2 linked regions of the Stegostoma tigrinum genome follow. The protein of the gene in region 2 purifies or fractionates together with the protein of the main gene of each other region. This does not show direct contact. Links are inferred from orthologs where the notes say so. Each region holds a gene or a part of one and is shown on either strand. Other genes may lie near its edges.

Region 1 (6,862 bases), on a different chromosome or scaffold from region 2:
CATTGGTGAACATCCCCACTTCTGACCTTATGATGGAGGGAAGGTCATTGATGAAGCAGCTGAAGATGGTTGAGCCTAGGACACTACCCTGAGGAACTCCGGCAGAGATGCCCTGGAGCTGAGACGATTGACCTCCAACAACCATGACCATTTTCCTATGTGTCAGGTATGACTCCAACCACCAGAGCGCTTGCCCCCTGATACTCATTGATTCCAGTTTTGCTCGGGCTCCTTGATGCCTACACTCATTCGAATGTAGCCTTGATGTCATGGGCTGTCACTCTCACCCTCACCTCATCTCTGGATTCGGCTCTTTTGTCCATGTTTGAACTGAGGCTGTAATGAGATCAGGAGCTGAGTGGCCCTGGTGGAACCCAAACTAGGTTTTACTGAGCAGGTGCTGTTTGATAGCTCTGTTACTGACACCTTCCATCACTTTACTGATGATTGACAGTAGACTGATGGGGCGGTAATTAGCCGGGTTGCTTTTGTCCCGCTTTTTGTGTACAGGACATCCTTGGGCAATCTGCCACGTTGTTGGGTAGATACCAGTGTTGTAACTGTACTGGAACAGTTTAGCATGGGGAGTGGCAAGTTCTGGAGCACAAGTCTTCAGCACTATTGCTGGAATGTTGTCAGGGCCCATAGCCTTTGCAGTATCCAGTGTCTCCAACCATTCTTGATGTCACATGAATCGAATACGCTGATGACTGGTATCTGTAATGCTGGGGACCACTGGAGGAGGCCAAGATGGATCATCAAGTCAGCACTTCTGGCTAAAGTTTGCTGCGAATGCTTCAAGCCTTATCTTTTGCACTGATGTGCTGAGCTCTTCCATCATTGAGGATGGGGATATTTGTGGAGCCTCATCCTCCAGTGAGTTGTTTAATTGTCCACCACCATTAACCACTGGATGTGGCAGGACTGCAGAGCTTAGATCTGACCCATTGGTTGTGGGATCGCTTAGCTCTATCACTTGCTGCTTTCGCTGTTTGGCGTGCAAGCTTCACCAGGTTGATCCCTGCACTCTTCATTGAACCAGGGTTGATCCCCTGGCTTGATGGTAATGGTTGAGTGGGGGATATGCCGGGCCATGAGGTTACAGATTGCGCTGGAGTACAATTCTGCTGCTGTTGATGGCCCGCAGTGCCTCATGGATGCCCAACCTTGAGTTGCTATATCTGTGCAAAGTCTGCCCCATTTAGAACAGTGATAGTGCCACACAACACGATGGAAGTTGTTCTCAATATGAAGGTGGGACTTTGTCTCCACAAGGACTGCGCAATAGTCACACTTAGCAATACTGACATGGACAGATGCATCTGCAGTTGGCAGATTAGTAAATGAGATCAAGTATGTTTTTCCCTTCTGTTGGTTACCTAGTTAGTGGTCAGAAACAGGACAGTGGAATGTAATGTGAAGTTATGCATTTTGGCAGGAAAAATAGAGCTGAATATTCGAAAAAAAAGTGAAAGACTAGAGGAAGCTCAGCATGGAAGGGAATCTCAAAATGATAGCGTCCAGTTTCTAATGGGAAGAGGGAATGTGAATGTAATGGTGATTTGTATTTCAAAGGGGAAAAGAAGTGTAATTTTTGTGTTTGGTCACCAGCAAACATCCCCATTTCTGACCTCATTGGACTATAGCTGGAATACTGTGAACAGTTTTGGGTCTTTTATCTGAGGAAAGATATACTAGCAGTGGAGGTTGTCTGGAGAAAATCGACTTGATGCCAGGTAGAGGGATTTTGAGGAGAGGTTAAGTAGGTTGGGCTTATACTTACTAGGTGTAGAAAACTGAGGGGGATACCTCATTGGAACTCAAGAATCTTAGGAGATGACAGACTAGATGCTGAGTGGCTGTTTCCCCTTAATAAGGGACTCTATGAACACAGCACATGATTTGAGAGTAAGGAATTGCCCATTTAGCACATGAGGATTTTTTCTTGGAGGATAATGCATCAATGGAATTCTTTATCACACAGTGCTGTAGAAGATGTTTCACTAAATAGATCATGGCTGAGAGAGACGGCTTTATAATCATTAGGGGCATCTAGATTTATGGCTAGAAGGCAAGAAAGTGGAGGTAAAGATTATCAGAACAATCATGTTTTCATTGATTTGTGGAGTGGACCCAATGGGCTGAATGGCCTACATCTAGTTTTACAACTTATGTTAAGAGGAAAGTGAGTCCAAATGACACACACTGAAGGCAGAGAATGACAGAAAAGGGAGCAAATCCTGAAACTGTGCTTCTGTTACTGTGGCACATCTTGCTCTGCACCCAAACATCGGAATTGGCCTGCTCAGTCTCACCCAAGATTCATGACAAAAACCTGCAACCTTGAGTAAGTATCATCCTCAAATCAAAGCACCGCAGATTTAGACAACTAAATTAACCCTTTATGAATTTAATAAAGATAACTCGTGACTACACTTCAATACCAAGACTGAATAGAATGGATGATAACATTACGTTTTTCTGAAAATTAGAAGTTTTAGCTATCTTTGTGACAGCTAACATTACCCAACTGTATTTTAAACATTGAACACAAACGGGTTGTTGAGGATTGATTTATTTGTCCCAACCAATGTAGAATATCCTACAACAACAAAAGCACAGAAGGAGCTGATTCACATCATCCCTTGTTCTGCCTCTTAAAAAGGGCTATCAGATAAGTTTCACTACCTTTTTCTCTTAACTAGTGTGCAAATTATTTCGTATCAAGTAATTTCTATGTAAAAGTTTCTTTACAACCTGCTTTCCATTGGTTTTTGGGGCAGTGCGTGCCTGATCCAAACAAGGCTCACTGGACTTGAAACACGAACTCTTTCTCTCTACAGATGCCGCCACACCTGCTGAGTTTCTCAAACAAGTTTTGTTTCTGTTTCAGATCTTCATTCGCACTTCTTTGTTTTATTTCACTGTTAATTGCAGAGTTTGGTCGTTTCAATCTTCTCCAGCCGCTTTTCAGGTGAGCTAGGTATCCCGGGAGGCATTGCGGTTTCTAAGATGGCGGATGTGAAAGTGTCCTATCTCCGGCAGCAGGAGGCGGAGCGCGGGAAATGTAACAATTTATGTAACATTTTATGTAAGGACTGAAAAGTTACAGCTCCCCCGGAAGTGGCCGCTCGGTGCCGACTTTTTTCCATTTGAAACCAGAAAATTGACCGCATTTCCCTCCGGGCCATGAAGCCCAGGGTTGAGGACACTGCACTTGGGCAGCAGCCGCGAGCAGCGGCCTCGGGAAACCGAAAGCGGCGGCTCGAAGCGGCCTTCCCCGGGCCCGGAGGAGGAGAGGACCCGGACAAGAAGCCCCCGCCCCGGCGATCAAACACGGCGATGACCCCGGCCGGGCCTGACCAGCAGCAAATGCCAGCCGCTGAGGAGGGCACCTCTTCTGGGCCAACAAGCCCTGCAGAGACCGGCATGAGCACCTCAGAGCAGAGTGACTCGGATGGCTTCAGCGCTGACGATGAGTTTCCTATGGCGGTAAGAAATTAGAAGTTGTTAACTGTTAGTTTAACATCTCTCTTGTAGCTATATGTGTTTTCACCTCCACTTTTTAAGACTGAATAGCAACCTACAGCTTTAACCAAGTCCATCTGGCCTTTTATACAAATGCAAGTTACTTTTGTACTTGGACAATTAATTAATTGTCCAAGTATGATGAGTGGGACGAATATCTAATAAGATTTTACCAATAATTTTTGCGTGTCGTCACGATTTGTTGACTCCCAGGACTCTGTCTCCGATAGCGAGCGGGAGGCTCCCACCTGTGCTGGTCCTGTATGTTTAGTGTTTGTGCGCAGTGCGGTCACGGTCCATGTGAGAGCAGTGGGGAGGAGAGGGGCTTCACTGTGGTTTGCCATTAACCAACCATCTGTAATGAAAAGTGTGCCATAGTTTATAGATATTTTAAAGCAATCTGTACGAACCTATTATGAAACATGTTTGGGGAAGATGGCGCTTTATTATGGACTTTCTAACACAGAGCTAGAGACACAACCGCTTCTCTACCTGAGCCGAGTCTTCCTTATTTATATCCTGAGAGTTGATCACTCAACTAATTACTTCAGTCTAATTAATAATTCAAAGAGTCTGTTCAGGTACAAAGTCCCAAATAACCACCTATGCCATTAGATTCTATGATTTTACATTATTTGGGGTAATTGGAGTAACATCAAACAAGGCTTTAAACTGAAAGAATAGGGGATGCTGGAAATCCAAAACAAATAGCTGGAGAAACTCGGCAGGTCTGGCAGCATCTGACTTCTGAAGAAGGGTACCTGGATCTGAAATATTAACTGTGCTTTCTCTCCACATATGCCACCAGACCTGCCAAGTTTCTCCAGCAATTTCTGTTTTTAAGTCTTTAAGCTTTCTGACTTTTGTTTTATTCCTATTACACTATGGGTTTTCGTATTGTGAATTGCTTTGCCTTGTTTAAGTGTACAACTGATGATCCAAGTTTGACCAGCTTCCATAAATGGGAAAACTGAGAGGTTAATTCATTGATGTGCAAATGTATTTCTGCAGTGCATCTTTGTCTTTCTCTTTAGAGCAACTGCTTTTGTCTGAGAGGACCATGCTTTCCAACTCCTTGCCACTGTCCCTCTAATGGCACCGAGTTGTTGCTGTTGAACAGATGGACCGAGATTGTTGAGATAGTGAGTGCACAGGAATCTATTCAAATGAGGAGTTTGTACCTGTCAATGTTATGTTTTTTGTTTTAGTTTCATCGAAAATCTGAGGAGCTGTCAGTGTATGAGAAGAAGCGACTGAAAAACATTCAGGAAAATGCCCGGTTCTTTGCATCTTTGAATATGCTGCAGGTAAATTAATGGACAGCAGCAGCTCAAGACCAGCTACCGTCTGCCACTATCCTCTGTTTCATTATTGCTGTTTATCACCAGGCTGTTGAGCTGAGTTGGTTCTGCTTATGATTTAAGTCAATCAAACACAAGATTTATTGTCTCTCAGGAAGTGGTTCAGTCAGCATGACTGCTCAAAACCACACCTGGGTGACCAATGGTTTTCTAGGATTTGGAGCAATGCTTCAGACAGTTTGCTGTCCTGGATAGTGGTGTACCACATCTCAAAGACTGATGTAGACTAAATGAAGGAAAACTGTTTCCAGTGGGAGGGATGTCAATAAACCGAGACGTCAAGGTACTTGATGAAAGAATGCAAGACAGAATGAGGAAACCTTTCTTTTTAAGCAGCAAACTCTTGTGATTAAGACCACCCTGTCCTAAAAGGTCATGGAAACAGATTGAATAGAGACTGTTGGAAGTTATTGCGTAAGATACAAGAGCAAATCATTAAGCCTTTGAGCCTCTTACCATTTTGTTCAATCTTTTACCCTGCTCACTTCCTTCAGTCCCAGAATAAGACAATTAAAGGGAACGTACTGAGCAGGGCTGTGTGAAAATAGAAGGGGAGTGTAATTAATTTGATAGGTTTGTGAAAGGATAGGGACATTGATGGGCCCAGTGTCCTCTATGCTAGATTACTCTAATTTTTTTTGGATCGAGCACATCTGAACATCACTTCAGCTCACACGTTTTCACAGTGGTCAGGATAAAAAGAGACAATAGAATTGTACTTACTGTGTTTTACCCTGGTCAAGGCTCAGACAGTGCGTTGGGGATACACCAGGCTGTCCTTGTCTGGACAGTCACATGGAGAGAATGTCCAGCAAGTCCTTCCTCTCACCTGGTCTGTCTTGAAGTATTTGGCACAGCAAAGTAAATTGTTCTCCGCTGATCCACAAAGGAATTTGCTCTCCTTATTTTACAGACTGCTGAAAAACTCAGAGAAATCAGTAAAAAGCAGCCAGTAAAAAGACCAAAGGCGCCTAAAAGGTATGATTTAGTGCGATGCAGTTAGAGGATCTGTGAAGTTTAGTATTATGTATTTTTGAATTGAGTCATATCTGATTATCTCTTGTGTTAGTTGGCTATCCAGTCCTTCAAGCCTAGTCTGCTTTTACACAAGTCATGGCTGTTTTTCTACCTTTTATTTTCTTTATTTGTTCAGGGGATGTGGGTGTAGCTGACTGGACCAGCATTTATTGCCCATCTCTAAATTGCCCAGAGGGCAGTTAAGAGTCAACCACATTGCTGTGGGTCTGGAGTCACATCTAGGCCAGACCAGATAAGGGTGGCAGTTTCCTTCTCTGAAGGACATCAGTGAACCAGATGGATTTTTTCCAACAATCGATAATGGATTCTTGTTCATCATTAGATTCTTAATTCCAGGTATTTATTGAATTCAAATTCCACCATCTGTCGTGGTGGGATTTGAACCCAGGTCCCCAGAATATTATCTGGGTCTCTGGTTTAACCGTCCAGCAATAGTACCACACGGCCATCACCTCCCCAAATTCAGCTTCACTTTGACTCCACGTGGCTGCCCTGTTCCATTGTATTCCTTTACAATGTCAGCACACATTGAGAGAGCAACATTAATAGGGATAATTTGATAGTGGAGCTTCCGAAATTTCAAAGGGAAAAAGATAGTTGTAAGAGTCTCATGATAAATTGTGGGGTTGGATAGCTGATAAAAATTGCATCTTACAGAAGTTATGTAGTGAGGAGCTGCCACAAAAATCCATATTGGATCTTCTAAGTCAAATTGATAAGTTGAGATTCAGAAATTCATGACATTTCCGATGATGTCAAACTAGGAGGGAAACTAATTAATTGTTATAAGCCAGTCAAGAAAATTTAAAATTAATCTGACACATGGCTTAGCAGCAGAAATTTCACAAGAAAAGCTAATTATCGATCTGTTGTTTAGGTGTATTTGTTTTATTCTTATTGTCCTATCATATGCAGCTTTATTACAAGTTTGGTCC
Region 2 (6,862 bases):
GCAGTTATATAGGGCCTTGGTGAGAACACACATAGAATATTTGTGCAGTTTTGGTCTCCTTTTCTGAGATAGGATGCTGTTGTCCCCAAGGGAGTGTAATGAAAGTTTACCAGGCTGATTCCAGGGCTGACAGGACTAACGTATGGGGTGGCATTGACTAGGTTGGGATTGTTTTCACTGGAGTTCAGACAATGACAGGGGGGGGGGGGGGGGGGGGGGGGCGTCTCATAGGGGCTTATAAAACTCTAACAGGACTGGACACGATAGATAATAATAAAATGTGAGGCTGGATGAACACAGCAGGCCAAGCAGCATCTCAAAAGCACAAAAGCTGATGTTTCGGGCCGAGACCCTTCATCAGAGAGGGGGATGGGGTGAGGGTTCTGGAATAAATAGGGAGAGAGGGGGAGGCGGACCGAAGATGGAGAGAAAAGAAGATAGGTGGAGAGAGTATAGGTGGGGAGGTAGGGAGGGGATAGGTCAGTCCAGGGAAGACGGACAGGTCAAGGAGGTGGGATGAGATTAGTAGGTAGGAGATGGGGGTGCGGCTTGGGGTGGGAGGAAGGGATGGGTGAGAGGAAGAACAGGTTAGGGAAGCAGAGACAGGTTGGACTGGTTTTGGGATGCAGTGGGTGGAGGGGAAGAGTTGGGCTGGTTGTGTGGTACAGTGGGGGGAGGGGACGAACTGGGCTGGTTTAGGGATGCGGTGGGGGAAGGGGAGATTTTGAAACTGGTGAAGTCCTTCAAGGACCGCAACTTTCCCCCCACAGTGATCGAGAAAGCCCTTGACCGCGTCTCCCGTATTTCCCGCAACACATCCCTCACACCCCGCTCCCGCCCCCGCCACAACCGCCAAAAGAGGATCCCCCTCGTTCTCACACACCACCCCACCAACCTCCGGATACAACGCATCATCCTACCACACTTCCGCCATCTACAATCCGACCCCACCACCCAAGACATTTTTCCATCCCCACCCTTGTCTGCTTTCCGGAGAGACCACTCTCTCCGTGACTCCCTTGTTGGCTCCACACTGCCCTCCAACCCCACCACACCCAGCACCTTCCCCTGCAACCGCAGGAAATGCTACACGTGCCCCCACACCTCCTCCCTCACCCCTATCTCAGGCCCCAAGATGACATTCCACATTAAGCAGAGGTTCACCTGCACATCTGCCAATGTGGTATACTGCATCCACTGTACCCAGTGTGGCTTCCTCTACATTGGGGAAACCAAGCGGAGGCTTGGGGACCGCTTTGCAGAACACCTCCGCTCAGTTCGCAACAAACAACTGCACCTCCCAATCGCAAACCATTTCCACTTCCCCTCCCATTCTTTAGATGACATGTCCATCATGGGCCTCCTGCAGTGCCACAATGATGCCACCCGAAGGTTGCAGGAACAGCAACTCATATTCCGCCTGGGAACCCTGCAGCCTAATGGTATCAATGTGGACTTCACCAGTTTCAAAATCTCCCCTCCCCCCACCGCATCCCTAAACCAGCCCAGTTCATCCCCTCCCCCCACTGCACCACACAACCAGCCCAGCTCTTCCCCTCCACCCACTGCATCCCAAAACCAGTCCAACCTGTCTCTGCCCCCTAACCTGTTCTTCCTCTCACCCATCCCTTCCTCCCACCCCAAGCCGCACCTCCATTTCCTACCTACTAACCTCATCCCACCTCCTTGACCTGTCCGTCTTCCCTGGACTGACCTATCCCCTCCCTACCTCCCAACCTATACTCTCCTCTCCACCTATCTTCTTTTCTCTCCATCTTCGGTCCACCTCCCCCTCTCTCCCTATTTATTCCAGAACCCTCACCCCATCCCCCTCTCTGATGAAGTGTCTAGGCGCGAAACGTCAGCTTTTGTGCTCCTGAGATGCTGCTGGGCCTGCTGTGTTCATCCAGCGTCACGTTTTATTATCCTGGAATTCTCCAGCATCTGCAGTTCCCATTATCTCTGGACATGATAGATGCAGGGAAGATGTTTCTCAATGGTGGGTGTGTCCAGAACCAGGGGTCACAGTGAGGGGTTTCAGGGTAGTCAATTTAGGACAGAGATGAGGAGACATTTCTTCACTCAAAGTGGTGAGCCTATGGAATTCATTACCACAGAAAGTATTCAAGGGGCAATCAGATATAACACTTGGGGCAAATGGGATCAAAAGTTATGGGGAGAAAGCAGGATTAGGCTAATGACTTAGATAATCAGCCATGATCGTGAAGAATGGCAGAACAGCCTCAAAGTGCCTAATGGCCTCCTCCTGATCCTATCTTCTATGTTTCTATAAAGAAACTTCATGGTAAATGGTAACCTAGTGGTCATGTCAATGGACCAGAACCTCAAATGCCCTAGATGATTTGTTTGGGGGAAAATTGGTTCAAATTCCACCACAGTAGTTACTACAAACGTAAATTCATGTCAAAACAATCTTTTTGACATGCTCAAACAAACAGTCCGAAATTAAGGGGAACCAATGGCCTAATAGCATTGAGCCAGGTAATGTTCCGGTGACCTGCCAAGGTAGATGGTGGAATCTGGAATTAACCATTGTTAAAAGTCAGTCAGGAAACAGCCCATCTGTTTTTCAGAGAAGGAAATCTGCCATCCTTACTTAGTCTGACCTACATGTAGTCAACTCTTAGCTAACCTGCGGCCAATAAACTCTGGCCTGGCACGCGACGTCCACATTCCTTGAAGAATATAATTGAAAGCTAGTTATCGGGTTTATTTTACAACACGGAGAGGCCCTGCGGCTATTCGTATCCGCGCCGCTCATATCAAACATCCGTTTTCCAGAACTTAGCGCCTGGTCTCAGTGATTAGGTCATCATTACCGGTTGTTAAAACCCACTGCTTCACACCTGTCCCTTACAGTAAGGCATCTGCGGTCCTGCCCTACATGTCTTTACGATAAGGCCTTCCATTTATCCATCCAGTGGGAGTAGGACAGGCTCAGACCCGAACGGCACAACGGCCTACCCCGACCCTTAATCGTTCGTTTTACCTCAGACGTACACTCCGAATAGCTCTTAACCCCCAGCAGCCTGCCGCGTCGATCCTGGACTAGGCCGCAGGATCCTCGGCATTGATTTTCTGAGGCCTCCCGGGCCCCGACCCTTTCAAACCAGGGCCCCGCCTCCCCAGGCTGCGCCGCCATTGGTCCCCGGTGTTGGGTAAGGGGCACGTGATCCTCTCCATCCGGGTACCGTACATCACCTTCCCGCCCCCCCCCCCCCCCCCCCCAAATCCGGGTAACTGGCGTCGTCTCTGACATCCGGGAACCCGGTACGGAGGAAAATACACGTGATGACGTTGCCACAACAAAAAAAAGGCGGGGGAGTTCGTCGTTAGCCGTTCCTCCTCCTCTAGCAGCAGCAGCCGCCGCAATGGCTGACTAGAGCGATAAGCGGCAAACAGATCGATAGAAATGGAGGTGGTGGATAGCGACACGAATCAATGGGTGGCGGACGAACAGGAGGAAACCACCAAGCCCTCGACGTCGCGCAACATTGCCGGGTGAGTGTCTATCTTGGCACCCTGGGATTTGTAGTCCCGTCCGTCAGTCGTTTCTTTCCGTCGTCATTCCTGTGGCGCACCGGACCACGGATAGCTCACCCGCCGCGGGAAAGGAACAGTATTTGAAAAGGTTCTCGGGTTTACAAGCTGCCCACCTTTATCAGGAGATAGCAGGGGTTGGCCGCAACCGCTCCAAGTCACGCTGGAGAGTCTAGTCCCTCGCCAGGTCCCTCCGCGGGTGGCTGCTGGCGCGGAAACTACAACTTCCAGTAGGCCACGCGCAGCCACCGCTCGTGTTGCCCCTAGCAACCCCATGATGCCAAAAGAGGAAGGTTGTGCTGAAGCACCTCAGTAAGTGAGAGCGCGCAGTAGACACTGGTCCATCCAATATCACACACAGCTCCTCACCTTTTTATTAGGCGTTTTACACACTTCCAGACTAAACCTTGAGTTAATCAGTTTCACAGTTTACACTCTGTTCAAGAGAACAAATCTGATGAAGGGTCCAGGCCCGAAACGTCAGCTTTTGTGCTCCTGAGATGCTGCTTGGCCTGCTGTGTTCATCCAGCCCCACACTTTGTTACCTTGGATTCTCCAGCATCTGCAGTTCCCATTATCACTGACACTCTGTTCACTCCATTTGGTTTTCTTTGGGTATGTTTCATGAAATTCTGATACATAGTCGTAGAATCATAAGACGTAGATAGAGGCCGTTTGGCCCGTCACATCTGTGCTGACCCTCTGGACAGCATTCCACTTGATCCCACCGTATCCCCATAAGCACACATTTCCGATGGCAAATCCACCTTACCTGCACATCCCCAGACACTATCGGGCAATTTAGCATAGCCAATCCACCTAACGTGCACTTGTGGACTGTGGGAGGAAACATAGGGAGAATGTCAGTATGGAGTTTGCACAATCATCCAAGGCTGGAATCAGAACTTCAGTGTTGCCGAAAAAGAAAATACACATTGTCAAAACTTTTCACCTTGTAATCATCAGGACATTGGCAAGGAGCAAGATTTTTACTGGACTTGTACAGTATAATACTAATTGGCAGTGGTATACAATTTTTACAGCACAGAAGAGGGTGGGTAGCTGAAACCCACTGCTTTAAAGGCGTGGTAGAAGTAAGGACCTTCAAGACATCTAATAAATGAACATTTGCAAAGCATTAGAACAGAAGGCTGTGGGCCGTTAGAACAGAAGTGCTGGAGAATGGGACTAACAAGGAAAGATGCTTGATGACCGGCACAGACACAATGTGCCGAAGGACCTTTTTTTTTGGTTTGGTAGAGATTTTATGCCACAAGAAGGCCTTTGGCCATCGTGACTATGTCATTGAAGATCCATCTATTCTAATGCCTGACCCTTCATTCCTGTCTGTAAACCTCTTCATAAACCATACCCACATGTTTTTTATGTAATCTGAAATCTTGGGTATATAATATTCCTCATCTAAGTCATTCATATATATTATCAGTAGTTGTGACACCAATGCTGATCCCTGTGGCATACCACTGGTTACAGATTGCCATCTGAAAACGCTCTCTTTATCCCAACCCCCTCTATTAGTTAGAAAATCCTCTGTCAATGCTAAATTCAATTTCCAATGCCGTGGGCTGTTACTAAGTAGCCGAACATATCAAATGACTTCTGGAATTCTGAACATCTAAATCTATTATATCAATTGCTTCCCCTTTTATTTATTCTGCTTGTTACCTGTTCAAAGAATTCTAATACATTTGTCAGCCATGGCTTCACTCTCATGAAACCATGTTGACTCTGTTTTATCATTATGTATTTCTAAATGTGCTACCATTACATCCTTTTACAATGGACTAATATTTTCAATTGACAGATTAATATATTCTTTTTGTAAATAAAGGTGCTATATTTCCAGTCCTCTTGGGACTTTTCCAAGTTCAAAGCATTCTTGGAAGATTACAACTGGTGTACCACTATCTCTGTAGCTACTTTTAATATCCTTGCGTAACAACTGAGGAAGCCCAACTGGAGAGAAACATCATTTAATGTTGAATATCAAATAGAGCCACTACTCCTGGCGTGCATAGACTGGTCCCAGGCTGGGACAGATGGGGGGGCGGGCGGGGCGGGGCGGGGTTTTTACCACTGGGACTATTGGCACAGCCCGTTCAGCAAATCGGACTGGGTGAATTATGTCACTTTCCCCTCGTCAGTCTAATTCAACTTTTACCTTTGTATGTAGAGCAAAGGGAACTGGTTATGCCTTGAAGTATTCAGGTAGGCCCTCTGGGTCTACGTAGATCTTGGCTCTGGTGCCTTTTAGTTTTCACAAAGCTCTCTTCAAACATTTCGGGTTACTTCCTAATGACTTTGTATAGATCATTGGTACTCATTTTAAAAATCTGTTGCCAATCCAGGTAGATTTTCTGTTGCAGATCCCTTCCCAAAAGATTGGGACTTGTCCCTTGCACTACCACTAAAGGGAGTCAGACTATCTGCTGCCCTGCCATAACTGAGGTTATAATGGTTCCAATATTCAATTACAATTGAATTCAATTACATTCAAGGTGGCATCAGAATAGGGTTCTTGAGCTGGAGCTCATCTGCTCCAACTGATTTTCTTGTTCTTTGTCTTTTCTTGTTCTTTTTTTCTCTCTCCTATATACATTTGCTTACCTTTTGTCCAGAGCTCAGACATCATTGGCAGCATGAGAGCATGAATCTCAAATGAGCCAGATGTGGGCCTCGAGTGACTTCTTGCTTTTTGGGGGCAAACACAGGACCTGGCATTGGAATTGGCGACTGCTCTATCAGCAGAGGTGAAGTCAGTGAGATGGTGCCTGAGAATCAGTGACTTCATCGTTGTTTGGATCCAGGGCTGGTGGCGGCAAAGCGGTAGTGGAAGAGCATCATAGCGACATTGAAATGAACCCAGCAGCAAAATATGTGACTGTGTTGGATGGTCTGGCATAGGTGGTGGTGAGATGGTGGTGGAGGAGTAGCAGCCCAGTGGCGAAAGATGGTGCCTGAGGATCGGTGACTTTGATATTGGTTGTGTCCTATGAAGACAGCGGTGAAGCAGTGGAGGAGAGATGGCGGCATTGGCACCGCTAATGGTGATAAGTTGGCTCAGGAGTAATGGACTCTCTCTAAGCCATATCTTTTCTTTCCTTATTCTTAAATTATTCAAATGGCACCAAATCACAGGAACAAATGAAACCTTTTCACTGTATTTTATTGTATTCTTACTGTAAAATACAAGTGAGAATAAAATCATACATAATATGTAAGGGCTCCCTGGTGCATTTGGCCAGTCTAAGCTCAGAGTCTCACAAGCTGAAAGGCAAGA

What was found. The genes of interacting proteins can lie anywhere in the genome.
Region 1: the proteins of numa1 (region 2) and wdr76 purify together in Homo sapiens (affinity purification with mass spectrometry; 3 studies listed by BioGRID and IntAct, with this or other methods). This does not show direct contact. The link is inferred for Stegostoma tigrinum from reciprocal best matches to the Homo sapiens genes NUMA1 and WDR76.

What each region holds. Positions count from the first base shown.
Region 1 is NC_081386.1:34,102,218-34,109,079, reverse strand, and holds the start of wdr76 (WD repeat-containing protein 76), read left to right. Parts: upstream 1-2,983; 5' UTR 2,984-3,189; coding exon 3,190-3,492; intron 3,493-4,736; coding exon 4,737-4,835; intron 4,836-5,802; coding exon 5,803-5,867; intron 5,868-6,862. UniProt on the Homo sapiens protein: Specifically binds 5-hydroxymethylcytosine (5hmC), suggesting that it acts as a specific reader of 5hmC.
Region 2 is NC_081359.1:110,956,065-110,962,926, reverse strand, and holds the start of numa1 (nuclear mitotic apparatus protein 1), read right to left. Parts: upstream 3,698-6,862; 5' UTR 3,678-3,697; intron 3,523-3,677; coding exon of another isoform or gene 3,434-3,522; exon of another isoform or gene 3,269-3,433; intron 3,204-3,268; exon of another isoform or gene 3,011-3,203; intron 1-3,010. Other genes in the region: lrrc51 (leucine rich repeat containing 51), read left to right, coding at 3,434-3,522. UniProt on the Homo sapiens protein: Microtubule (MT)-binding protein that plays a role in the formation and maintenance of the spindle poles and the alignement and the segregation of chromosomes during mitotic cell division.